Danio rerio: one gene and its partners. The protein of the gene in region 4 purifies or fractionates together with the protein of the main gene of each other region. This does not show direct contact. Links are inferred from orthologs where the notes say so. Each region holds a gene or a part of one and is shown on either strand. Other genes may lie near its edges.

What was found. Proteins that work in one complex are often made in the same cells at the same time.
Region 1: the proteins of (E3-independent) E2 ubiquitin-conjugating enzyme UBE2O (region 4) and rpl35 purify together in Homo sapiens (affinity purification with mass spectrometry; 3 studies listed by BioGRID and IntAct, with this or other methods). This does not show direct contact. The link is inferred for Danio rerio from reciprocal best matches to the Homo sapiens genes UBE2O and RPL35.
Region 2: the proteins of (E3-independent) E2 ubiquitin-conjugating enzyme UBE2O (region 4) and epb41l5 purify together in Homo sapiens (affinity purification with mass spectrometry; 3 studies listed by BioGRID and IntAct, counting the BioPlex papers as one, with this or other methods). This does not show direct contact. The link is inferred for Danio rerio from reciprocal best matches to the Homo sapiens genes UBE2O and EPB41L5.
Region 3: the proteins of (E3-independent) E2 ubiquitin-conjugating enzyme UBE2O (region 4) and recql4 purify together in Homo sapiens (affinity purification with mass spectrometry; 3 studies listed by BioGRID, with this or other methods). This does not show direct contact. The link is inferred for Danio rerio from reciprocal best matches to the Homo sapiens genes UBE2O and RECQL4.

Annotation. Positions count from the first base shown.
Region 1 is NC_133196.1:7,130,484-7,135,892, reverse strand, and holds the end of rpl35 (large ribosomal subunit protein uL29), read left to right. Parts: intron 1-1,248; coding exon 1,249-1,330; intron 1,331-3,336; exon of another isoform or gene 3,337-3,448; coding exon 3,449-3,598; 3' UTR 3,599-3,652; downstream 3,653-5,409. Other genes in the region: wdr38 (WD repeat-containing protein 38), read right to left, coding at 3,721-3,867, 4,235-4,282, 5,114-5,266.
Region 2 is NC_133184.1:30,554,315-30,560,623, forward strand, and holds part of epb41l5 (band 4.1-like protein 5), read right to left. Parts: intron 5,709-6,309; coding exon 5,617-5,708; intron 3,877-5,616; coding exon 3,715-3,876; intron 3,527-3,714; coding exon 3,462-3,526; intron 2,714-3,461; coding exon 2,591-2,713; intron 1-2,590. UniProt on the Homo sapiens protein: Plays a role in the formation and organization of tight junctions during the establishment of polarity in epithelial cells.
Region 3 is NC_133194.1:3,217,198-3,223,506, forward strand, and holds part of recql4 (ATP-dependent DNA helicase Q4), read right to left. Parts: intron 5,190-6,309; coding exon 5,053-5,189; intron 4,966-5,052; coding exon 4,882-4,965; intron 4,256-4,881; coding exon 4,067-4,255; intron 2,505-4,066; coding exon 2,322-2,504; intron 594-2,321; coding exon 392-593; intron 1-391. UniProt on the Homo sapiens protein: An ATP-dependent DNA helicase which unwinds dsDNA with a 3'-overhang in a 3'-5' direction. Does not unwind more than 18 bp of dsDNA. May modulate chromosome segregation. The N-terminal domain (residues 1-54) binds DNA Y-shaped DNA better than ss- or dsDNA.
Region 4 is NC_133181.1:22,119,962-22,126,270, reverse strand, and holds part of (E3-independent) E2 ubiquitin-conjugating enzyme UBE2O, read right to left. Parts: intron 3,550-6,309; coding exon 3,079-3,549; intron 2,879-3,078; coding exon 2,742-2,878; intron 2,613-2,741; coding exon 2,409-2,612; intron 1,342-2,408; coding exon 1,284-1,341; intron 1,179-1,283; coding exon 424-1,178; 3' UTR 1-423. UniProt on the Homo sapiens protein: E2/E3 hybrid ubiquitin-protein ligase that displays both E2 and E3 ligase activities and mediates monoubiquitination of target proteins. Negatively regulates TRAF6-mediated NF-kappa-B activation independently of its E2 activity.

The sequences.
Region 1 (5,409 bases), on a different chromosome or scaffold from region 4:
CATCCGCTGTGAGGAGCCGACAGATTGTTTATATCCCATCATCTGATTGGCTTCAGCTGGAGTTTTTTTTTAAATATAGTGAGGAACCCAGTTGTCTTAAACCAGGGGTGTCCAAACTTGGTCCTGGAGGGCCAGTGTACTGGAGAGTTTAACTCCAACCCTAATCAAACACATCTGAACAAGCTAATCAAGCTCTTACCAGGTATACTAGAAACTTCCAGGCAGGTGTGTTAAAGCAAGTTGGAGCTAAAGTCAACAGGACACCGGCCCTCCAGGACTTACTTTGGACAGCCCAGTCTTAACGAGTTTTACATGAGCCTCAGGTTTCTTAGGAACATTTACCATTATTTATTTGGGTCAATGTGCCAGCAGATATTTGAGTCTCTTGCATTGCAAAAAAATAAATAGTCTGAAAGAACTTGGATAAAGCTTATTAGTGCAGCTCATGAAATCATATTTTAGGTTTAAGATGACAATTCAGTTATGATGCATGTTTTAATATTGTTATTACTAAAATAAGTATTAACTTTTTATATATAATGTAAATATTGATTGTTGAATTTGAACCTTTTGTGGAGGATACTTTTTTTTTCCTTTAGCTAAATTTATAATAATAATTGATAATTAGTGCAGGGCTAAATTGATTGCATCCAAAACAAGCGTCGACCGTGGATGTACTGTGCATATTTATCTACATGATAAATTTTTGTCTCTAATGTTTATTTTTTGTGGGTTGCATGAATACATGCATTCATGCATATATTGGAGTGTTTGTTTGGATATAAAATGTATAAGATGCAAATTTACTTATGCATTTTAATCTATGTAATAATTGTTTTGTTTTTCCATCACATAAATAATAAATACACCAATATATTACGTGAACTTTTTGTTTTGGATGCAAGTAATCTTTGCCCAGCCTTTAATAATATTTTGAGTAAATCTCAATGATGATAATCATTTGAGTAAATCTTAATGATTGTCATCAACTTTCTATATTTCTATATGAATTGCTTATTCCCGGAGTTTTTTTGAATAGTTTAAAAGAATCATTCATTAATAACGCTTAATTTAGTGTTGCATTTAGTCATGACTGGCCTGAACCAGCTAATCCTTAACTGAAAAATACTTTCATTATCATAAAGAAAAATCAACCTGTCTCTGTCAGTATCACGCAGCCCTATATTAATCAATGCATTCATTGACACGCTTGAATATGCAGATCTAACATTTGTGTTCTCTTTTTAGCCGTGTTGTCCGCAAGTCCATCGCCAGAGTCCTCACAGTCATCAACCAGACACAGAAGGAGAACTTGAGGAAGTTTTACAAGGTCAGTTTAATGCTGATGATGCAATCATCTGCAAATCTATAGATTTTTGTCACTGGAGGGGACTATTTGTGTATTATAAAAAAAATAAAAATTATGAAGACTGGTGAAAACGGTTTCATATTGACAATCCAAATATAATCTGGAACCCCATTATGTTACTGGAAATTTTTGAAGATGTGGTTGTTATCTTAATAAATTAGCTTAATTTGACCTTTAACCAAGTGAGAACCTGTAATGAACATTGCTTTATGGGAATCCAGTGATGAATTGTAAAGCCGTGACTCCTCAGCACATCAGTGCGTCTCCAGCAAGATGATCACCCAGCACTCCTCCTGCTCGTGTGGAGACGGTGTGAAAATCTCTTGCTATAGAAACACGACTTCTCACAGTGGAGTCTTGAAAGACATTTTGATCCTCTGTGAGAAGCCGACAGAACATTTATATCCCGTCATCTGATTGGCTTCAGCTGCAGTTCAGTTCTATTGGAGTGGAGAGCCTAGTTGTTTTGAAAAGGGATGTTACAAAAACATGTAAAACGGAATAAACTTTAGCTGCAACAGTGATTCGTTTTCATTATACCAGCCTTGTTTAAACCAATATTGGGTGCTTCTATATTAGGATATGTTCATATTTCTGAGGTTTTTCCAAGTAATTGTCAAAAGAAAAGTTTTAATTTTTACAAATTCTCTCACGCAACATATCTTATATTCTCAATTGAACGCCTTCATATTTAAAAATAAAATAGCATTATCAGGGTTTCTGCAGGGTCCTAATGTGTTAAATCTCAATCAAAATTCACAGAATTGTGTTGTAGGTCTTGTATCTTTTTTTTTTTTTTTTTTAAATGGGTCTTAATTTTTCTTTGTTCATGTAATGCTGCCAAAACCCATACAATCAACAATCCATCTCCAAACTTTCACATTTGTATATAAAAAGGTAATTTTTAACTCTATCATAGTGGTATAATTCCTTACAATATGATTTGTTTAAAAGTGCTCCATGTAATTACTGCTGAAGACCCTGACCTGGACAGATTGTTGTGCATGCATTTAGTTTATTATAGTTTTTAAACTGAATGTTTGTTAATTTTTTTTTTAAGTTTAAGTTGGAAGAAATGTATATGGATGCAAGTAGAACTGGCTTTTTTACACCATATTTAAAGTATTTGCTGAGAAATCTAGTCAATTTTATTCATTTATTATTGTATTATTAAATGTATTTAATTATAATATATATTTTTTGATAGGGCAAATAAAAATCATTTCCATCTGCGCCATTTAAAAAAAATTTCTTAACCTTTAGCCTTTTATGAGTCTAAAATTTCATTCATAAAAGTCTTAATGTCTTAAAGTCTTGAATTTAACTTGGTGAAACCTGCAGAAACATTGATTATATTCCATTGCCAGAATTTTTTACACATTCTCTGAATACAAAAATTTAATATTTTTTATTATTATAGTTGTTCTCAATTAAATGTGGTTGAACAATTTTTATGTTTTTAAATATTACAAATTTTTCTATTTTACAAGTTTTTATTTATTTTTATTTGCTGAATCTTTACCAGTAGCGAAAGGAAAATCCACAACATGAGTTTCAAAGGAGTAAATCTGCAAGAATTATATTGGTCAGACAAATATGCTAAATTAGTTTAAGAAAACAGCGAGTCCAAGATGCCTGAAAAATTTTGGGAAAAAATATGAAAAAGCCTTCATTGAGATGGGTATTACTTGGAATTGCCATATCAATAAAGACTTTTTAAAATGTATTCCAAATTTTCAGTGCCTTGGACTTACCTTTGCTGTTTATTCCGGATAATCTCTTATCCAATGAGCACCGACGCCTCTGAGAACTTTTTGTTTGATTTTTAGTTTCAGTAGTATTGCTAAAATACAGATGGAACAATTTAAAAGTCTTGGAGTGCTTCAAATTTTGAATGCACAAATTGTGATGTGGGTTGTTTCTGGGAATATTTAAGCAAATAAATAAAGTCAAGATTGAAGCATGTTCTGTGTTCCTCAAATCATGTTTAATCCAGGAAAATTGGTATTTGGAACTGATTTCATAATGAATCATGTCTAAGCTGTAAAATTGAAGTAAACTGGGCTCTTAACTTTTCAGGGTAAGAAGTACAAGCCTTTGGACCTGAGACCCAAGAAGACCCGTGCCATCCGTCGTCAGCTCACAAAACACGAAGAGAACCTGATGACTAAGAAGATGCAGAGGAAATCTCGTCTCTACTCCATTCGCAAGTTCGCCGTCAAGGCATAAAAAAAGCTGTACTTTTGTTTTTCCACTGAAAAATAAAATCCCCCGCTCACCCTGGAGTCAAGATGTGTCCTGAGTCATTGTGTTTCATAAGCAGGAGCAGATAAATGACAGACTAGCCTCATCTAGAGCGTAGGTGTCACTTCTGGATTTGTTCTCCCTTTTTCAGTTGTGTTCTCTTCCTCTTCTTCCTCATTGAGCTGCTCAGAGCCGCTGGTCAGAAGCTCTCCATTAGGGGTGAAAACACAACCATATGCTGAGTCCTTATGACCCTAAAACACGCGCACAGACACACATCAACATTATCGTCATCATGAAGCTCTATGATGCCATAATCACCAGTCAAAGATGCTTAATACTGCATTTTCACCAATGTTTTTAAACTCTGTATGGCAGATGCGGATGTCTTTTTAATGTACAGTTTGTTGAAAAGTTAATGAACAAGTGTCTGGTTTGTTTTTTATTTCTTGTCAGACCATTAAATTTAATTAATTTATGCTTATTCCGTAATTTAACCTGGCAGGCAAGTTATTGCTGGTTCATAATCAGCATAATTTTCCATATCGGTCTGATGTTTACATTTTGCAAGTATTTATTATCCAATTATGTAAAGGTTCTAATAAGATAGTGCATCCCTACCTGTAGCTTCTTCACACACTCCCCAGTGCTCATATCCCAGATCCTCACCTGATAAACATATAACCAAATCAAACTCTGATTATGAAGACCTAGTTTTACCCTATTAAGGTGGTTAAAAGGGAAACGGTTAATCCTGAAATTAAAATGCTTTCACTGGGTCCTTTTAAAATTGTCACAGATTTCCTGTAAATGTTTGGTTTAGGGGTATGAGAGGTAGGTCCATTAAATAAGCAGTTTTACTGTATAAAATACATTACGCTTATGGAGTGTCCCTGTAAACCATGTTTACGTGTATGTGGTCCTGCCGTACAGTTTCGTAGGGACCAAATGGACCCACAAGCAGTGTTGGGGAAAGTTACTTCTAAAAATAATGCATTATAATATTGAGTTACTTTCTAAAAAAATAACTAGTTGCATTACTTTTTATGGTAAGTAATGCTTTACGTTACTTTTCATTTACTTTTACATCACTTTTTCTGACCTTTGCTGATGTTTTGACACATCTCCTTCAGAACTTGCAGGGTTTGTAATGAGTTACCCTTAACACTGCCCCCAACAGGTAATACCACTAAATTTAGACTATTTTATTTAATTATTTATTTTTAAAGTTCCTAGATTCTGCAGGTTACAATGTTCCGATTTTGCTTGCCAATCTTAAGCCTATTGTAATGGTATGTTTTGGTTAAATTTGGAATTTCCCCAACCAATCACAGAGCCCAGGGCACCAGAGTGAGTGCTCCGACTTGGCCCTGCCCTGGTCCTAAATTAAGTAAGTAAAATCAAGTATATTGTAAAATGTTTCGGGGAAGAGGATAGAATATACAGTATAAAAATCATTACGTCTATGGGAAGACGTAACCCAATGTGTGTTTGGTTTACCATGTCGCCTTCAGCAGTAGATGCTAAAACCCGTCCATCAGTGGAGAAGGCCAAACTCCTGACCCAAACACGCTCACAGCCTCCCAACACAAACAGACACGTGTGACGTTCCGGCAGCCAAACACGCACAGTGCCGTCCCATGAGCCTGAGGCCTAAAACACACACACATTGTAAAACCCAATAAGTTAAGATAACTCAAACCATTTGAGGATACCAATTGCAACAAACCATTTAAGTTCATAAACTAATCCTAAAGAGTGCTGTGAACTTAATCCATTTGAGTAAACGAAGCAAT
Region 2 (6,309 bases), on a different chromosome or scaffold from region 4:
GCACACAGTGAGCAATGGCAAAAATGCGGCTCGCGGTCGTTAATAAACCATTTTAAAAATGCCCTTCTCAACCCAAAAAGGCGTGTTCGTTGTGATCAGCCCCTTATGCAGGCAAAACTTTCAAATATATATAACATTTTTTAATCATTTAACTGATACCATTAATCGGTTAAAAACGCACCCTTTTAGTAAACGGTTAATCGGTTATAATGAGCATACCTAGCTAATATGCTAATTAAAAATATTTTTGAAGCCTTTTATGCTCACCCAGGCTGCATTTATTTGATTTATGGCCCTTTTCCACTGACTGGTACAGTATGGTACGGTACGGGTCACCTTTATCAGGCTTGCGTTTCCACTACCAAGGGTGGGCGTGGTGTGAGAAAGTTTTAGTCGACGTCATTCTCGCTCGAATAAATATCTATAGTAAAGATGTACAGGTCGTTCATATATCATATGCAGATCCATGACAGTGTGAAATATCCTACTGTAACGTCTGCAATTATATAAAATAATAAATGTATAAATGCAACATGAACACATACAGACTCTTACAGTCTCTGATATGTTACCACTTACAGAAAAACAACACAAAGCATACATTTAGTACTTTACTTTCAAAAACTACACACAACATAGACCACAGTCAGTGCAAACCTCTTATCTATATCTGTAATCTTCACCACCATCTTAGGGAGTAATTCTGTCATTCCGAGTTCATAATAATCCAAAAGGCGATGATAAACATGGCAGTTTGTTCGTGATTCAGGTTGCTGAAACAATTTGCTCCTGTGTTTTGTCGGGCTTCTCCTTTGTTTGTTTGCGTTTCACTCTCGCGCTTGTCCTTTAATCACACACACGTTATTATCATTGACTTCAAAAGTTCGTTATATCAAATATAGACGCAATCGCAAGCTTCCTGAAGAAAGCCAAAACAGCTCGCACTTTTCGGCGGCCTTGTAGAACAACAACAGGACACAGCAGATTTTGTTCTTCTTGGCTTTGTGCCTGTGCATCAAGACAACGACAAGTTTTGTTTGAGCTTGGGTCATCCATTGCTTGTTATTATATGCATATAGTATTACAGTGTAATGTCTTGGCTCCGTATATAAAACATGGCGGTTCCTTTGTTTTCATTATGGCTAGCTCCACACGAGCTTGTGACGTACCTCTGTCACCAATCAGCATTCAGCTGTGCGTGTAGCCCCAACTTTTGGTACCCTTTCTCATGTTTGGTACCCTTTCAAAAGGATGTTGAAAAAGTGGGACGGTACGGTTCGGTACAACTTTTGACAGTGGAAACGGCCATAAAAGCATACTGAACCGTATCGTACCAGACCGTACCATAGAAGTACAATAAGGAGGCTTCCCATTCTGGTGACTGATGGAATGGCATCATAGTGCATCGTCTCATCCAACAATTATACTAATAGTCTCACTTAAACTAGTGAAATACCCAAAACTATTACTAAAGTAGTCTATAATAGTGGGACAACAACAGAAATTAGAGAGAAGAGCAGGAAAACTAACATGGAATTTGTGGAAGTTAAAGGCTCCACAGACAGCAAGGAGGTGCCGCAGAACATATGCATTAACATAAAAATTCAATAAATTAGGGCAATAAATTATATAATAATATTGAAAGATTATATCAGTTTACATTTTTCCCCATTGTACAAATATACAAAGCTCTGTCAAACTCACGTACTTCTCCTTCAAAAGATTTAGGTCACGAAATTGAAGATACAAATTGGTCTGAAATATGTAAAAACTTGTTTTCTAAATGTAATTTGAGTGTCCATGAACTCAGCTATAAATTTATAGGCCAATATATTGACTTATCGCACAACACATGGCAATGAACAATCATTTTTGGTGATCGCGCAACCTCTCTATATTGGATAGTGCCAGTATGGTTAACATTATAGTATTTTATAGCACTTTTTTGTTAACATCTATTTATTATAATTATTATTTATTTATGATACACGTTTTCACAGTCTAATTGAATTGCTAAAATGACTATAAATCAAATATTTTTAAGAATAAAATAATTTGTGTTCTTTGGAAGAGAGTCCTTGCATTGTGATGCTTTTATATTGTCATTCTGGCATTATATAACGAGTGGCATAAAATAGTCTTAAAATGACAATAATATCGTTTATATTGTGTAAATTGCTTCCTTGTCCTTATTTGCAAGTTGCTTTCGATAAAAGCCACTGCTAAATGACTAAATGTAAATGTAAAAGGGAAATAAGTCTTGTCTATTTAATGTGTCCTTACAGAACAAAAGTATTATTTCCTTACCCTAATATTTTGAATAGTAGTGTATGATCATATACAAAAGAAATAAAACAAGCCCCGGCTTGATGGAGGACCAGGTGGCCCATTTAATCTGGGTGTGCCCCAGATTCTGCCTGCCTTCTTGTGCTCCACTGCCTCTGACTGTGTCCCAGGAGGATTACAGACCCGCAGGCTCCCTCACATGGGCCTACTACGTCTTAATCCACACACTCAAACAACAAAGCAAGGCTTCTTAGTAGTACAATTTTCTCACTGTACTTTGCCAAGGTTTTGTGTGCTGTCTCACCTGCTGGTAGAGCATGGCAGCAGGCCGGGCTGTTTGAGCATGTCCCAGGACTCCTGCCGCTCCGCTCTCCCACTCACTGGCAGAGAGGTTGTGCTTCCCATACGGCCCCCACGACCGGTTAATCTGATGAAGACACAGACACATCCATCATTTATTCATTTTCATTATTAAAAAGAATACATTTCAACAACCATCATGTCAATTCACACTGCACCCATGTTGCCAAGTCTATAGATTTTACACTGTTGGCAAGGATTTTAGTCCATTGGGTTCAACTGAAGGAAAACGAATAATATTTTAGATTACCCCCTGGCTGGATCACTTTCAGGTCATTTGATCAGCAGTTAGGCAGGTTTTGTTATACAAACCAGACAACCCTTTAGTGAACTGACAGAAGCCAATCAATGCAGACAAGAGTCTGGTAAATGCCAATGAACATCTACAATCAACAGAAATGACCACCGACTAACACCAACTAATCAGACAATGGTAACATGCCGATACAATGTGTTATTGGACACAAATGTGGCATCTGTTACAGCTGTGAATTGGCCTTAAAAAGACAAATGCTTGTGCATGTTACAATATATCAAAATAGTGACTAAACCTTACCTAACCTTTCAACTGCAATATTGCAATTTATAATGATAGTGTTACTTAAAAAGTAGAGATTTGATTGTAAAGTAGAAGACAAAACAGTTCAGTTATAAAATAATGGATCCCAACTTGACATACAACTTGAAGTACAGTAAAGAAGAAGCAGAAATAAGATCACAAGTTGGAAGGTGTAATTAGAATAAAGATTATTAAAAACTAAATGCATCTCTGGCTTGGGTCTTTAATTCAGGCAGACGTACAACAGTGTTTATACCTGGCTGCTGCTTCCTGCAGGTTACAGTTCTTGTCTGGAGTCAGTCCAAGCTCATCTCTTGAATCCTGAACAAAGAGATGAACATTTACACACATTTAGATTCATAAATCACCAGTTTACATGTCATTTACATATACAGTACCAATACTCACGCAGTATATCATGTAGAGAACTAATAAAATGTGAGATCCCCTTAAAAAAAATGAAAAGCTGAATGTTCAAGTGCTTATGAGTGTTAATAGCATGTCAATACCTTAAGTGCTGCCTCTGCCTGAGCTTTCAGGATGTTGCTCTTGAGTTCGTCAGGAGCTTTGAGCTGATTCAGGACAGGACTGCTGCTCACACTGTTCAAACTTTTCTCTGTCAGTTTCACCACATCATCCTGCACACAATTGCACACAATGTCTGTGTTTTCCTGAAAATAAGCCAGAGCAAGTTAAAGCCAATTAAAGAAAACAATTAAGGTGCAGTGGGGTTTTATTTGAGAAACACTAATTCAGTCTCATTTGAGAATTTCAATAATACATAATGTACAATAAGCTACAGTTGGCCCTAAACACAAACATTTTGAACACATTCAAGTTTCTTTCACTCAACAACAAATGAGTTTAATTTAAAAGTATAAGAGCTGAAGGAAAAATTTAAATTAGAGCAAAACTGCTATAATTAAAAAAAAAAACAACCAAGCCAAAAAAAAAAACAAAAAAAAAAAACAGTAAATGTTTTCTGAGGATGAATCTGTCTGCACTGTGCATTTATGACCTTTGTTTTGAAAATGTAGCTTTAACTTTGTCTACATCTACCTTGTTTTATCATGCTTAAACCAAAATGTAGTCTACGACAACTACCACTAGCTTTTTCTTTTAAAATCTGCAGTAAAGGATTTCCGACATGATATCTGTTATTCAGATGGAGAGTCAGATTTTTAAGGACAAGCTTCTTAATTTTTAGCTACTTGTGGTCAATTGTTTGATATATTTTACAAATCTATATCTCAAGAACAATCCAGTGACCCCTCTGAGTATATATATATATATATATATATATATACATATATATATATATATATATATATATATATATATATATATATATATATAAATATATATATATATATATATATATATATATATATATATATATATATATATATATATATATATATATATATATATATATATATATATATAGTTATATACCCTCTCTAGTTCTGATTGTACGTTTTGTGACTATGATGCAATTTGTTGTTGTTGTCTCTTTTCTTTTCCTTTATATTGTCTTTGTATATCTACAGTATGAACCAATGTTTGTTCTTGTTCTCTGTGTGTGTATACATGTAAATATAAACCTTAAAATAAAGTAATTTAAAAAAAAAATGCAGAAAGATGTCAGTGTGCTGACATATAGCATGATTGTTATTTATAATTTGATTGTTAGCTCGAGGTTCTTTGCCAAGTCATTACTGTCTCCCTCTCTACTTCCTATCAAATAAAGGGGGAAAAATCCTAAAAAAACTAATTATGAAAATAAAAGACAGTCTTTGATTGTGTAGAACAGATAAGTCACATAATCTGTTCAGAAAGAGTTCCCTGGATAATTTTAGCCAATAAATAATTTGGCATTAGATAAATCTCTCTATGAAATTGACATAGCAATAGCCATTAAACCAAGACCTCAATTTGCCTTTACTGTATATAGCATTTACAGTTAACTTTTACTAAGCAAACAAAATTGTATCCTAGTTTACAGTAACATTCAAGCCATTTTAAGATGGATTTGATTTTCCACAAAGTTTCACTATGCAATTTTAATTATCAGATTACTTATAGGGATAAATTTAGTGACAGAAGAAGGATTTAAATTATATAGACCAGGCTGAATAAACCTTAAATGACACTGAGCTGAAAAGCATATAGAGATCACTGACTGCAGTAATAGCATGAGTAATCATCTTCCCTATTCACTATTTAATGTAATATACATCCTGAGGTTAGTGTGGCCAAGAGAGTCTCTGGTTCTTGTATTTAAAGACTATGTGGAGCTTTAATTATATGCTATGGAGTCATACGAGATGAGGAAACATATTGGAAAAACACCATTTACAAAAAGCTTTGTTTTCAGTGTGTGCAAGGGGCTTCTGGATGGCTGCTCTGACCTGGTTGTTCATGTTGAGGTTGACATTGGTTCTGGCTGGAACAGACACTGGAGTGTTTTCAATCTCTAGTTGCTTGAGTCGAGCTGCAGCCTCTGTGGATAAGAACTGATTCAGTGAGCTTCACTAAACAATGAGAGGTCAGTCATACAGAGAGATGGAAACATCTGCATGTGTAAGGTTTAAAACCTTAATGCAAGGGTAATTTCTTTACACAATGAACAGGCAAAGTGTGACAAAAGTGTGACAGCAAGAAGTAATACAGTTCATATAAGATATCAAAAGGCTAGCTGGTAAATGAGAAGCGGTCATTACTTCAGTCTCATATGATCCTTCAGATTTTAATGTGCTGATTTTTTTTAAATTCTGAAATGATTTTATTTAGTGTTCTACAATCTGAACTGGTCTAACTTAAAAAACAAACAATAACTGCAGTCTTGCAGTACGGCAATTTGAAAAAGGAATATTTCTCGAAGCAGCAATAAGCTTTCATGTATGTTTTTAAGACTCCTTTCATGGTGGCTCAGTGTTTAGCACTGTCCCCTCACAGCAAAAAGGTCACTGGGTCGAGTCCTGGTTGGGTCAGTTGGCATTTCTGCTGGAGTTTGTTCTCCCTGTGTTCGTATGGGTTTCCTCCAAGTGCTTCCCACAGACATGCGCTATAAGTGAATTGGGTGAACTAAATTGTCTGTAGTG
Region 3 (6,309 bases), on a different chromosome or scaffold from region 4:
ATGCCTATGGGTGCACATATGAGCGCTAATGCATTTACTATTTAAACAGCGAAGCGCAACGCCTCAAAACCACTCTTGCACCAAGCTGAAACTACCAAAAGACTATTGCGCCGCGCCTTGCGCCACACTGCGCCGGGTGTATGATAGGGCCCTTAGTCTCTTGTAATAAATATAAAATAGGATCCAAATCCCAGTGATTTTGAGACCCACCGCAACGTGACATAGGAGTGCGGTTTCCCCCACCCACCGAATTGATTGACAGGCGACAAGTCACTATAATAACATGTATACATGTCTACAGAATGTAAAAACAGCAGTTATTGTTGTGATTGAGTAATGATATGAATAATAAGTCACAGATGTCTCCCTACTGTACCGTTGCAGTATTTACCCAGAGCTTTCTTCTTCTTGCCCACAGGGTTGTCGTCGTCCTCCTGCAGCGCTGTGTGTTTGGAGGATTCTCTCAGCATCACCCCCTGCAGGCAGGTGCGCAGCAGTGCAGCGATGCGGCTCGTCTCCTCTCGTCTGGTGCAGTAGACGATTACCGAGTCCAGAGCTCCAAAGCGCTCACCCTTCAGCAGAGACACCAGAGCCTGAACACAAGGAGACGTTTCAGAAATGCATGGAGCAAAACTAAAATTACTGCATGCACAAAAAATAAATAAATACTGTTGACGGTCTACAGAACAAACCATGGTTATACAATACCCTAACCTGCCTAGTTAACCTAATTAACCTAGTTAAGGCTTTAAATGTCACTTTAAGCTGTATAGAAGTGTCTTGAAGAATATCTAGTCAAATATTATTTACTGTCATCATGACAAAGATAAAATAAATCTGTTATTAGAGATGAGTTATTAAAACTATTATGATTAGAAATGTGCTGGAAAAATCGTCTCTCCATTAAACAGAAATTGGGGAAATAAATAAACAGGGGAGCGAATAATTCAGGGGGGCTAATATATCTGACTTCAACTGTATATTACCAAGATTTTTGGGCAATATGGATGTCTGAGAGAGCTCAAGTTCAACAATGCATCTTGATTATCAGCAGGTTTTCCATTATTCAGACATAATTTGAGAATGATGAGTGATGACAATTCAAAAATGGATTTGGAGTATCTGTGATGGTTTACTGAAAGTAAAAAAACAAATAAAAAAGCTTAAATTTATATTAAAATAAATTTATAAACTAAATAAATATTATGCTTAAGTATTAGATGAAACGCATATAAATATACGAGTACTTAAAATGAAAGAGAAATGCATTTAAATATTTATAAAATGCTTAACTTAAAATAACTACAAAAAATAAGTATTTTTAAATACAATATAATTAAATTACTAACATTTTTGTATGAGACCAAACTCATTGAGACACTGAGGAAGGCATTGTGCCGAAACGTCTGTTTGTCTGTTATCACCCGTAAAACGTAAGAAAAAGTAAAAATAAAAACAGTATGAAGCAATTGAGTGCGAATCATTACCTTCTTTTGTATGAGACCAAACAAAAACATTTAAACAAACAAAAAATATATACATATTAATATGATTCAATATTTGTTTTATATAGTTTTATGCATGTATTTGTTTATTTATGCATGTATTTGTTTATTTATGCATGTATTTGTTTACTTATGCATGTATTTGTTTATGTATGCTCATACAAATGTATGTTAAATATGTATATATTAAAAATTGGTTCTCTTCTGACTAATCTGATTTATTGCTTATTGACAAATGGCTATTTGAGATTATTTCTGACTGTAATTGAAAGAGCTGGAGAAGTCTGGGGTTTGGAAGAGCTTCTGTGCTGTAATTGTATGTTTGTATTTTGTTTTGCTTTTGTCATGTCTCTATGGAACCCCCTTGAAGAACAGATGTTGCATCTCAAGAGGGTTATCCTTTAAATAAAAAATAAAAAAAACAACATGTGAAGGGGGCACGGTGGCTCAGTGGTTAGCACTGTCACCTCACAGTAAGAAGGTCGCTGGTTCGAGTCCCGGCCGGGTCAGTTGGTGTTTCTGTGTGGAGTTTGCATGTTCTCCCCGTGTTGGCTTGGGTTTCTTCCAGGTGCTCTGGTTCCCCCACAGTCCAAACACATGCATAATAAGGGAATTGATTAACTAAATTGGCCGTAATGTATGAGTGTGTGTGTATGGGTGTTTCCCAATACTGGTTTGCAGCTGGAAGTGTGTAAAACACATGCTGTAATAGTTGGCAGTTCATTCCGCTGTGGCGACCCCTGATAAATAGGAGACTAAGCGGAGGAAAAATGAATGAATGAATGAATAAACAACATGTGAATAGTCTGAGCGCACCTGATCTTTGTCTCGGTCCATGGACACGGAGAGCTGGAGGTTGTGAGGAACAGCAGCGGAGCGAACAGCAATGCCGTCCTCATCACTGATGTCCAGGTGTCTGGCGATGTCCAGCGCTGTGGAGAGAGTGGCTGTGGCTGTGAGTCCCAACAGACAGCGAACGCCCAGCCGGTCCCTTAGCACCTGCACAACACAAACACTTCTGTCACCCTGGAGCACAAAACCAGTCTGATGCTGTGTTCACACCAGACGTGGAACGCGCGGATAAATCGCGCTATTCGTGCGTAAATAGCCGCGTGAACATTTGAGTTTACTCGCTTCATTCGCGTGTCAAATTCACTTCAGAACAGACGCGGATTCGCGTGATGGGCGGGGCTTCTGTCTGCCCGAAGACTCTAGCTTCATAGCTAAATGGCTAACATGGATTTTATGAAGGAAATAACAGTGTTTGTGTGCTTTATGAAGACTGAAAAACAGCGTCGATACGTTTAGGGTCGTGTCTGAGTCCACTACATCCTTTCAGAGGTGCATCCAGCTCTGTGAGCTCATAAACTCCTTCAGAAACTGAACCTGGATGACAGAGGGTTTCAGCGGTGCTTCTGACTGAGCCAAGCCGAGTTTGATGAAGTGTTGTCGGTGAAGGCTGGAGGATTCTACAGGTTCTGTACGTCACAATCACGCCCCCACAAGAGCAAGCTTCTGATTGGTTAACGCGGCGCGAATGTACTCTGAAGTTCAGATTTTCGAATTCGAAAGATTCGCGCGAAACGCTCGTTAAGCGCGTCAAACGCGCAAAACGCTCAATTCGCCCCGCGCCATTTGCGTGTATCGCGCCACAGGATGTCTATTCGCACGTTTGCATTGACTTAACATGTAAATCACTCGCGCTTGACCCGCGTTCCACGTCTGGTGTGAACGCAGCATGATGTTGCACAAGTCTCTTTGCCAAAATAACTAAAAATACGCAGCAAGGCTCAAAATTAATGATTTTTGGGGTCCAAAATCACTAGAATAGTAAGTAAAGATCATGTTTCATGAAGATATGTTGTAAATTCCCAACAGTAACTGTATCAAGACCTCATTTTTGCTAAGTAATATGCATTGCTGACGACTTACTCTTTAAACTATTTTATTTCTAAAACTTTAACACATTTAATAAACATTGATCTAAATTAATTTTATCCTAACACAGTTTTATTAGGTTTTAAAAATACAAAAATAGATCATCAAGTGTAAGGCTTTGCTGATTGGGCAGTTTAGGTTTTATTTCTAAAAAAGTCTGAAAAAAATAGCATTTTTATTCATTTAATTAATGAATACATCCATCTAAATCTAGAGTATATATTTATTTTTAATGTACAATGCATGAGCTTCATTTCAGATACTTGTGCACTGATTAATCTATTGTATGAATTATGGCTTTGTTTTAAAAAAAACTAAAAATAAATATTTAGTTTAGTTTAATTTCTCCTTGCATTCAGTCTGTCCTCCATTTCTGTCTTGTACTAGTAATTTTTTTTATGTAGCATAAAGACACAAAGATCAAGTCACATCATTTTGTGTTGTACTTTATATTTTGAAATTATAAAATTTTTAGATTTGATTAAAAATGACAAAAATCTGAAATCTGTATCAGAAAATCAGCTTGAAATGTTGAAAAACCAAGAACGGCGCAGCAGCATTTAATTTTATGCCTTGCTTGCACGCATGGAGGAACATCATTTGGGCTGATTTGAGAGACTCACCTTGCACAGTCTCAGGTAGCAGGGTCTAAAGTTGTGTGACCACTCAGACACGCAGTGAGCCTCGTCAATACAGGCAAAGGCCACCGGAGGGAGTTGATCTGCAGGAGGGAGACACCCTGAGCCCGAGTGACCTCCACCAACCAGAGCTTCAGGAGACAACAGCAGGACGTGCACCTGACCTGCCTTCACCTACACACACACACACACACACACATAGATAAAACTAAAATATTACCTTGGCAACTACTAAAATAAAATTATTTGAAGTTAGTAAAAATTTATACCAACATTGAAAATAAAAAGTAGATTTAAATACATATCTATAAAATTAAATTAAATAAATTACTAGAAAACATTACTAGAAAAACACAGCTAAAACTAAAAGAATGAAATCTAAATAAAATTCTAATGGTCAAATAATAGTGCATAATTTATTACACATAAATACACACAAATAAATAAATAAATAATTGTAGTAAATTAAATAATTTAAATTTAAATTAATTAAATTTAAATTAAATAATAGTGTAATAATAGTAATTAAATGAGAAATGCTACACTGAAATAATTTACAGAAATAAACTTAATAAAATTAAAAATATTACAAATAAAACCAAAAACACAGCAAAATTAATGAAAGAAAAATACTATAAAACAAAAAACAGACATATTTTTTATAAGTGATATAACAGTATATTGATAATACTATAAAAAATAAGGAAAATAAATAAATAAATTATTTCTCTATCCTTCGTTACTGTATGTATAACAAGAAATTGGACATCAGTTGCATTTTATTAGTATTACTCTTCTACCTTCTCAATGGCCGCCTCTCTCTGTTTCGCAGACATGTTGGAGTGGATGCAGGCAGCTTTCAGCTTCGGCGGGAGTCCAGAAAGCTTCACAAACAATTCAAAAATCCATCAAACTACTTTCTATTTGCTGGAAATGAGTCGTAAGCAGTAGTAATAAACCTCCAGCAGTACCTGATCATCCATCAGAGACACCAGAGGAGACACCACCAGCGTGATGCTCTTGCTCCTCTGGGCGTACAGGTATGCAGGCAGCTGGTAACACAGAGACTTGCCCATACCAGTGGACAAAACCACCAGTGTGGACAAACCTGAAGACACACGAAAACATCAACAGATCCAAAAAAAAAAATCTGGTTTACTTTTAAGCACTTCTTATAAAACTCATAGTGATTTAGTTGTAAAAACCCATGGCTATGAGATCTGAAAGCAGATTAAAACTTACTAAGGGTAAGTGTGCCATAATGAACGCACTTTTGACTTCAGCAAAATAGATTTTTTAAAGACTCAAAAAAGCAGTGAACATTTTATAAACATAAAAACAGAGATTTAAAAGAACATTCGTTTCTGTCAAACTAGAATTATGTATTAATTGTGCAGATAAGGGTTTCCGAAAACCATTGTTAGCTAACTAAGGTCGCAAGTTTCGTTGTTACAAACATAGTTCGTTGATTTGGTGTTTCCTAAATTCGTCATTCCAACGAACATTCGCAAACTGCATCGCAAACGTGAATGCTTACAACTACACCTCTGGAGCTGTGGTTAGAAGCAGAGTTCCTGGCTGTGTTCTATTCCTGGTTATCCCCCCTATGCCCTATTCCTTTCGAACGTTCCAACAGTTAAACTTGGAATTATTTTTAAAAAAAAAACAACAACAACATTAAAATCATCTCTATTTTTACAGTTCGGTTTTAGTGATCTTCATATTGAAAATTGCCTTCCCTTTGTAGTGCTCTTTGAAAACATTTATGCCATTTTTAACACTCCCATGGATCATGATTTTTTTTAAATAAATAAACAATATCCTACTTAATATTAATAATAATAAAAACAAATAAACAATTATTATTATTATTATTATTATCATCATCAAGCAGAATTTTTTTAATTTCTGAGTAAATAGCCCACTGTAAATTATAACCATTAGCCTACGGATTTTTATGATTTATATATGAGATTTGAACAAGTGTTAGCAAAGTGGTTTTATGTTTTAGAATAGAATATGGAATTTTTCAATAATATTTGTAAAGGAAATATTTGTCCTATATGTGCCATTTACATACAGTAAATTTGAACAAATATGGAAAATGAGTGCATGCTTTTACCAAAACTAATATTGTATTTTTTTAACCCATGTGCATTGAAAAACAATATAATTTGCACAAAATATTATGGGCATTTTCTCTAAAGAAGTTGTCCCTCCAACTCCGT
Region 4 (6,309 bases):
AATTGGGGCTCCCAAAAACAAGAAAAAAGGTCTGTCCACCCCAAAGTATCAAAGAACAATGCCTAAGACTGACATATCCAATGGCACAATAAATCAGTTCCTTCTGGCACAGGTTATACCAAATAATCTTTTTAACACATAAAGAGCCCAGGCATTTCTAAATGACTAATCTATGTGCATTTCATCTGTACTTCCCTGAGAGAGCAGTGCGATGGCAGCATTGTTGTCAGTAAAGATAATAATTTTAAAGACTATGTACAGAACAAAAACTGAAGCAACTAAAGATTCAGTACAAAAATTAATAAAGGTTGCTGGGAGAATAGGTGGGCTGATAAGGAGATAAATGTTCCTACAGTGGGTTAAGGTGGGAAAGCGCTGCAAACTGATTGATTAACGAGGGAGAAAAAAAATTCTGGAGGGAAATTATTTGTTTTCTGGGTGTTCAGGAACACCAGCAGCTGTGAGAGTAGCTCGATAATGCTGCAGAACTACACACATGCTCTTTACAAAACCTTTGGAAAGAGGGAAGAGGGGGAATCCAATATCAGGATAACCACTCCGCTCTGGAAGGAAACTACGATAACTCTTTCTCCTTTTCTTTGGTCTCACAGCTGGTTGAGACTCCTGACATGATTTTACACTTTGTTGAGATCCCAAAAAATTTGACATTACTTCAGGAACTTCTGGTATTTCTGATCCTGCACCACCCACCAATGAACTATCACACTCAGAGTTCTGGCTCAAATCTTTTTCAGTTAAACCAGTAGGTCCACTGGTTGCCATTGTAGAGAGACTGAGTCCCGAATCCTCAAAATCTTCTTCGACTTGTATGTCCTGCTTGCTAGAACTGCAGTGGTAAAGAACTGAGGGGATCTCTTCTAGAGGTTCTGCATAGAGGCTTCCAACACCACATCGTGGAGCATGATCTGTGATTGCCCCATCTAACTCTAGCCAGGACTCCAGCCGATGGACCAGCCGCCAACCACTGCAGGCAAAGTGTTCATAGACTTCCTGCTGAAAGACCTCTACAGGCTGCTGAAGAAGCTGAGTCATTGACTGTACCAGCTTAATGAGTGCCATCTCGTTGTAACAGCGACTATTTTCATAACCTTCCTGAAGTCCCCGGTCACTGTCAAAGCCAGCCTCATTGTAATATGGCTCATTGACCAGAATCAGACCTAAAGGTGTAGAAACAATAACAGAACCATAAAAACAAGATCCACTGTGCAGCACTACAATAAATTAATACAATCAACAACATAACTGGAGTGCACTTTTTTTACCTTGTATAGAGATAAGCACTTGAAGTAAACTTGATTTGCTTGTCCATCTTTCAGTACCCTGTAAAAAGATACAAAATCATATATTAAGACTTACCATTATTCAAACAACACAATGGAGAACATCAAGCAACATTCTATTTTAGGACAAAAGTAAAGCAACAACTAAATGGGGTTTGGGTTGGGTATTGTTTGGGGTATTTCAATACCGGTGCTAAATAGATACTTTTGAAAAGGTGCCAAAAGGGTGCCTAAACTGATACTTTTGAGTCATAAAATTATGGTGGATAACTCTGGTAAAATATACATTATATACATTTTTATATATATATTTTTGTTTACCATTTTAATTGAACAGAGTAATTAAAGGGTAAAGTATTTATATTTTGTATATTTGAATTGCATTAATATATTTCTTCTGATCATTTGCTTGTTAACATGAATGCAATATTTGCATTATGTAATTAACATTACATTAGCTTACTACTAACCTGTGGAAAGGCTATCATCAAATTCAGTGAATTTTTTTTTTTTTTAGGGTTAGGGCTTGAATTTATGCGTTTACATGCATACTACACTAATAATCTGATTTTAATATGATTTTAATTTAAGAGTCCTCCATGAGTCCTCCAGTGAATTTTGGTTACCCTTATCAGACTAAAGTTCAAATCTAACTAAACAGAAATGGAATTAAGACGTGGAGTATTCCTATTTTAGTGGCATTATTGAGGTGCTGTAGAGACATGTAAACACCTTAATCAAATTGGTACCATCATGAAGGACTTTGTCACATCTGGCATCAGTATATTCAATACACACATGGCTTTTGATACTCTCTAAACCTATCGAGTCAGTAAAGGACTAAAGAGACCTGCATCACAAAATGCGGAGGTTTTTTATTTATATTCAGCATGCAGTATCAAATTCCATTAAAACAACATGATATACCCCTTGAGGCTTATTCGTCCTTTTCCGCAGCACCAGTGCCACTGAAATTAGGCATCGAAATTCATATGCTAATGCAGTCCAATGCATATCGGTTACATTTTGGTACCCAACCCTAAATGGGGTAGTGAAAATTCAGGAATATGTCAGTCAGAAGTTAGATAAGACAGCAGGTTATCTCACCTTTCCAATCCAGGTGCCAAGAAGGCTGACACAAACCTTTCCATTATCATAAAGGTTAGGATTAAGCCGCCCGCTACACTGAGACAAATAACGGAAAAGAGGAGGAACAGCAGGATAGATATTAGGAAGCTGGATATCAAAGAGAAAGAGTCCATCCTCGTAGGGAGTGCGGTGAGGGCCCTTAATGAGAGCTGAAAAAAGGTCCTAAAAACAGAAAAGCATAATTAAAAATGACTAATCATATCCCTTATTTTAAGGGACATTTTAGAATAATTTTAATAATGTACTAGGAATAGTCTATTTCAAATTAGGTTGTGTGCATGTCACATTCACCATTCTGTCCTCAAAGGTTTTCACCATGATACCATCAGGCAGAGAGGTGGCCAGCAAGGCCATTTCTTTCCTTACAGTGCTAAAGAACTTCTTTGCCTCTGCTGGCTGAAATTCCATTTTTTTAAATGAGTGGGTGTCTATATAAAAAGAGAAAAGTTTTTTTTTTTTAAATTAGAGAATAAAACTATAGAATAAAGAATGTATAGAAAAAAAGGAGTTGCAGTGCTGACTTTCAATGTTACATTTAAGCAAATAACACAAGCAAGTCAGTAATTCCAAGTTGCTTTGTCATGCTTATTTAAAAAAGCAAAACTTACAACAACAAAAAAGTCTGTACCTGGTACCCATTCCAAAACAGAAAACACTTCCCCTTTAGCACTGGTAAAGGTGACACCTGGTTTGCCTCCACTCTGCTGGCACAAAACTGGAGTGTCACTAGGCCATTCAGAACGCACAGGTGTCTGTGGTTCAGTTAACACTGGAGTGATAATCCTTTCCTCTTCTACGGGAGCCTCCATTTTATCTTCTTCAACAATGGCAACATTGTCTAGAGTCTTTTTCAAATTCTCCTGAAGTTTCTTAATGTCATCCAGAAAGCGTTTTTCCTTTGTGGGTTTGATATCAGCAGAAGCTGTGGCAGCAGTTGCAGCTGATGGTTCTGCTGTGGGAGAGGTTGGTGATCCAGTCCAGAGCTGCTCAACAGTCATGTTCTTTAAACTTTCCAAAATCTTTAGGGCTTCTTTAAGCTCACGAAATCCCCTTGGTGGAGCTTCCTTAGTGGGCTTTTCCTCAGGTGTAGCAACACCACCTTAAAATAATTAATATTAATTGTTACAAAGTGTGCACTTTTCACCCAAACCAATAAGCAAGGCATATCTGCAGAAGTTCACAAAATTCTTTGTAGGACCTTGCTCACAGTATCCTGTTTATTTATGAACAGTAGGAAGCAAGATATAATACTTCTACATGAATATACATAAATAAAGCACTGTTTTAGGGTGCTTTCACACCTGCAGATCAATTCTTTTGTTCTGAAACTGGACTCAAATTGTTACAATGTTGCACTTTGCTCTTGGTGCATTTTATTTCACAAAGCAACATTTCTAAATGGAACAAAATAACTGAAACAGGTCACATGGAAATAAACTCTCCTCACATTGGTCAGTTTCAAGGTTTACTCTGCAGAGTCCCATTCACCTGTCCTTATTTTAATTTATGGCAATGAGCAAAAAGATATTATAAGTGAAAATGTGCGCTTTAATTTTGAATGGTGACACCCAGAGACATAGTCACCAAATATAAATCAGACTTCTCATACATAGATGATGGCTAGAATTATGCATAGGCTTTACATGATAGAGATCACTGTCTGATGAAGATCCATGTGACTCGAAATGTTACACGCTTTGTGTCAGCTTTTTAATTTAATAAATTTGTATTTTTGGAGCTTTAGTGTTGCCGCCTTTGCCGTTTTTTGGCTGAGCACCCAGTTTAGAGGGATGTGCGTGCTTTTGTACAGTTTTTCATTTTAGAGAAATAACAGATCAACCAAGACTGCAGTTCAGTAAATAAACAGCTGTTGTTAATAGTTCAGTATGGTTTTAATATCGCATTTGACAAGAAACGCACATTTACCGGTAGGAATGACATACCACCCCTACTCATAATTCTCTCTTCACTGTGATATAGCCTGGTTTGTTAGTTCGTTGGATGGTTTTGCCTTCTCCCTACAATTGATCCACTCCAGAGTTAATTTCAATAAACATGAGACCACCTCATTCTTACAATCTTGGCGTGGATCTATATATATATATATATATATATATATATATATATATATATATATATATATATATATATATGCATGTGTATGCATAGAGAGAGAGAGAGAGAGATAAAAAAAGGAATGTATTTTTATTACTTTTGTGTCTTTACTTTTTATTAGAAAAAAAAATTAGACTAACGACAGATCTTTTGTCTTTGTATGATCACATATATTGACCAAGCATACTTCTGTCTTACTGTGATTCTTTTTGCTGTTGTATATATGCTGGAGTCAGGTAAATGTGTGTGTGTGATCTTGCAAAGACAATGTCAGACACCGTAATATGCTCTGGTCCCTTGTCCGCTTATGGTGTTGACGAGTTATACAGCCAACTCTTATCACTAAATGGCTGGATGTCAAAGTGGAGCCAACTGAATAACATAAGTTTTGTAGACAATTGGCCAAGCTTCTGGGGTAGACCTGACCTGTTGAAGAGAGATGGTCTTAATCCCACCGGGGCTGGGGCAACTCTCCTCTCTAGTAATCTGGCATATAGTTTTAGTGTTGGCTCTTGATTAACTGGGGCCCAGGTTAGGGAGTGGACAGATTCGCTTATTCAGCCTAGCATCCACAGTTTATCTAACTCAGATAATCCACAGCACATAGAGCCACTTAGATATAAGAACATAGAGACTGCGTCTGTTCTTTGAACCTCTAAATAAAAAATAAAAAAAAACTTCCAAACCCATTCAAAGGAAACAATCTATTTGATGTTCATCAAATAGAAAATAAAGGTAATCAAAAGATAAAACTTGAATTATTGAACATCACTCACCTATAAAACTCTTTTTTTTAATCATTTCATAACTCATCTAAAGCTAGATGCACTTTATCTAACAGAAACCTGGCTAAAACCTAACGATTTCATGACCCTAAATGAGTCTTCACCTGAATGATATAATTAAAAACACGAGCTGTGTCTTAAAGGCAAAGATGTTGGCATAATATACAGTAATATTTTTAGTGTTACTTAGCAACCTGACTTAAAATATAATTCATTTGAAGTAATAGTGTTGTATATTTCAGTGTGCAATTTAAACAAATTTTAATCTAAATTTAAATTGTCAACTCTATATATGCCTCCAGGGCACCATACCGACTTTACAAAAGAATTAGCTGATTTCTTATCAGAAATATTTCTGGCCACAGATACATTTTTAAATGCTGGTGATTTTAATATTCATACAGAAAATGAAAAAGATGCTTTAAGTCTGGCCTTCTTAAGGCTGGCTCACACTACAATTTTTTTATAATCCTAAACAATTGTAGCATGTCAGACTGCACGAACATGGCATTCATGTCACATTGTAAGATTTCAGCTGTCATTATGTCAGACTGAATGACAATGAAGATGCAACAAACATGGAAGAAAACTCCCCTGGAGTTTGACGTCATCCCTCACAGCAAACATAAACAATCTGTAGTAGCAATTTTGCACACAGCATGTCTCAATAATGAAACCAGGAAGAAAAAAAAACAGTTTTGACATTTCACCGCTTGTTATTTGATCAGTCACTTAGTGACTGTCTGTGAACATATCAAACCAACAATCAAAAATCACAGATTTTAGCACAGAATTTTAGGAATCTTTGAGGATTTCCCAAATTTGTCTCAGATGACTAATCCGTGGCTGAAATCCCAATGTAAGCAGGGTTTAAGACATCCTAGACTCTGTTGGAGTGGAACAGCATGTCCCAGGGCCTAGTCATCAGCATAATCATACCTTAGACCTAATATTATCAC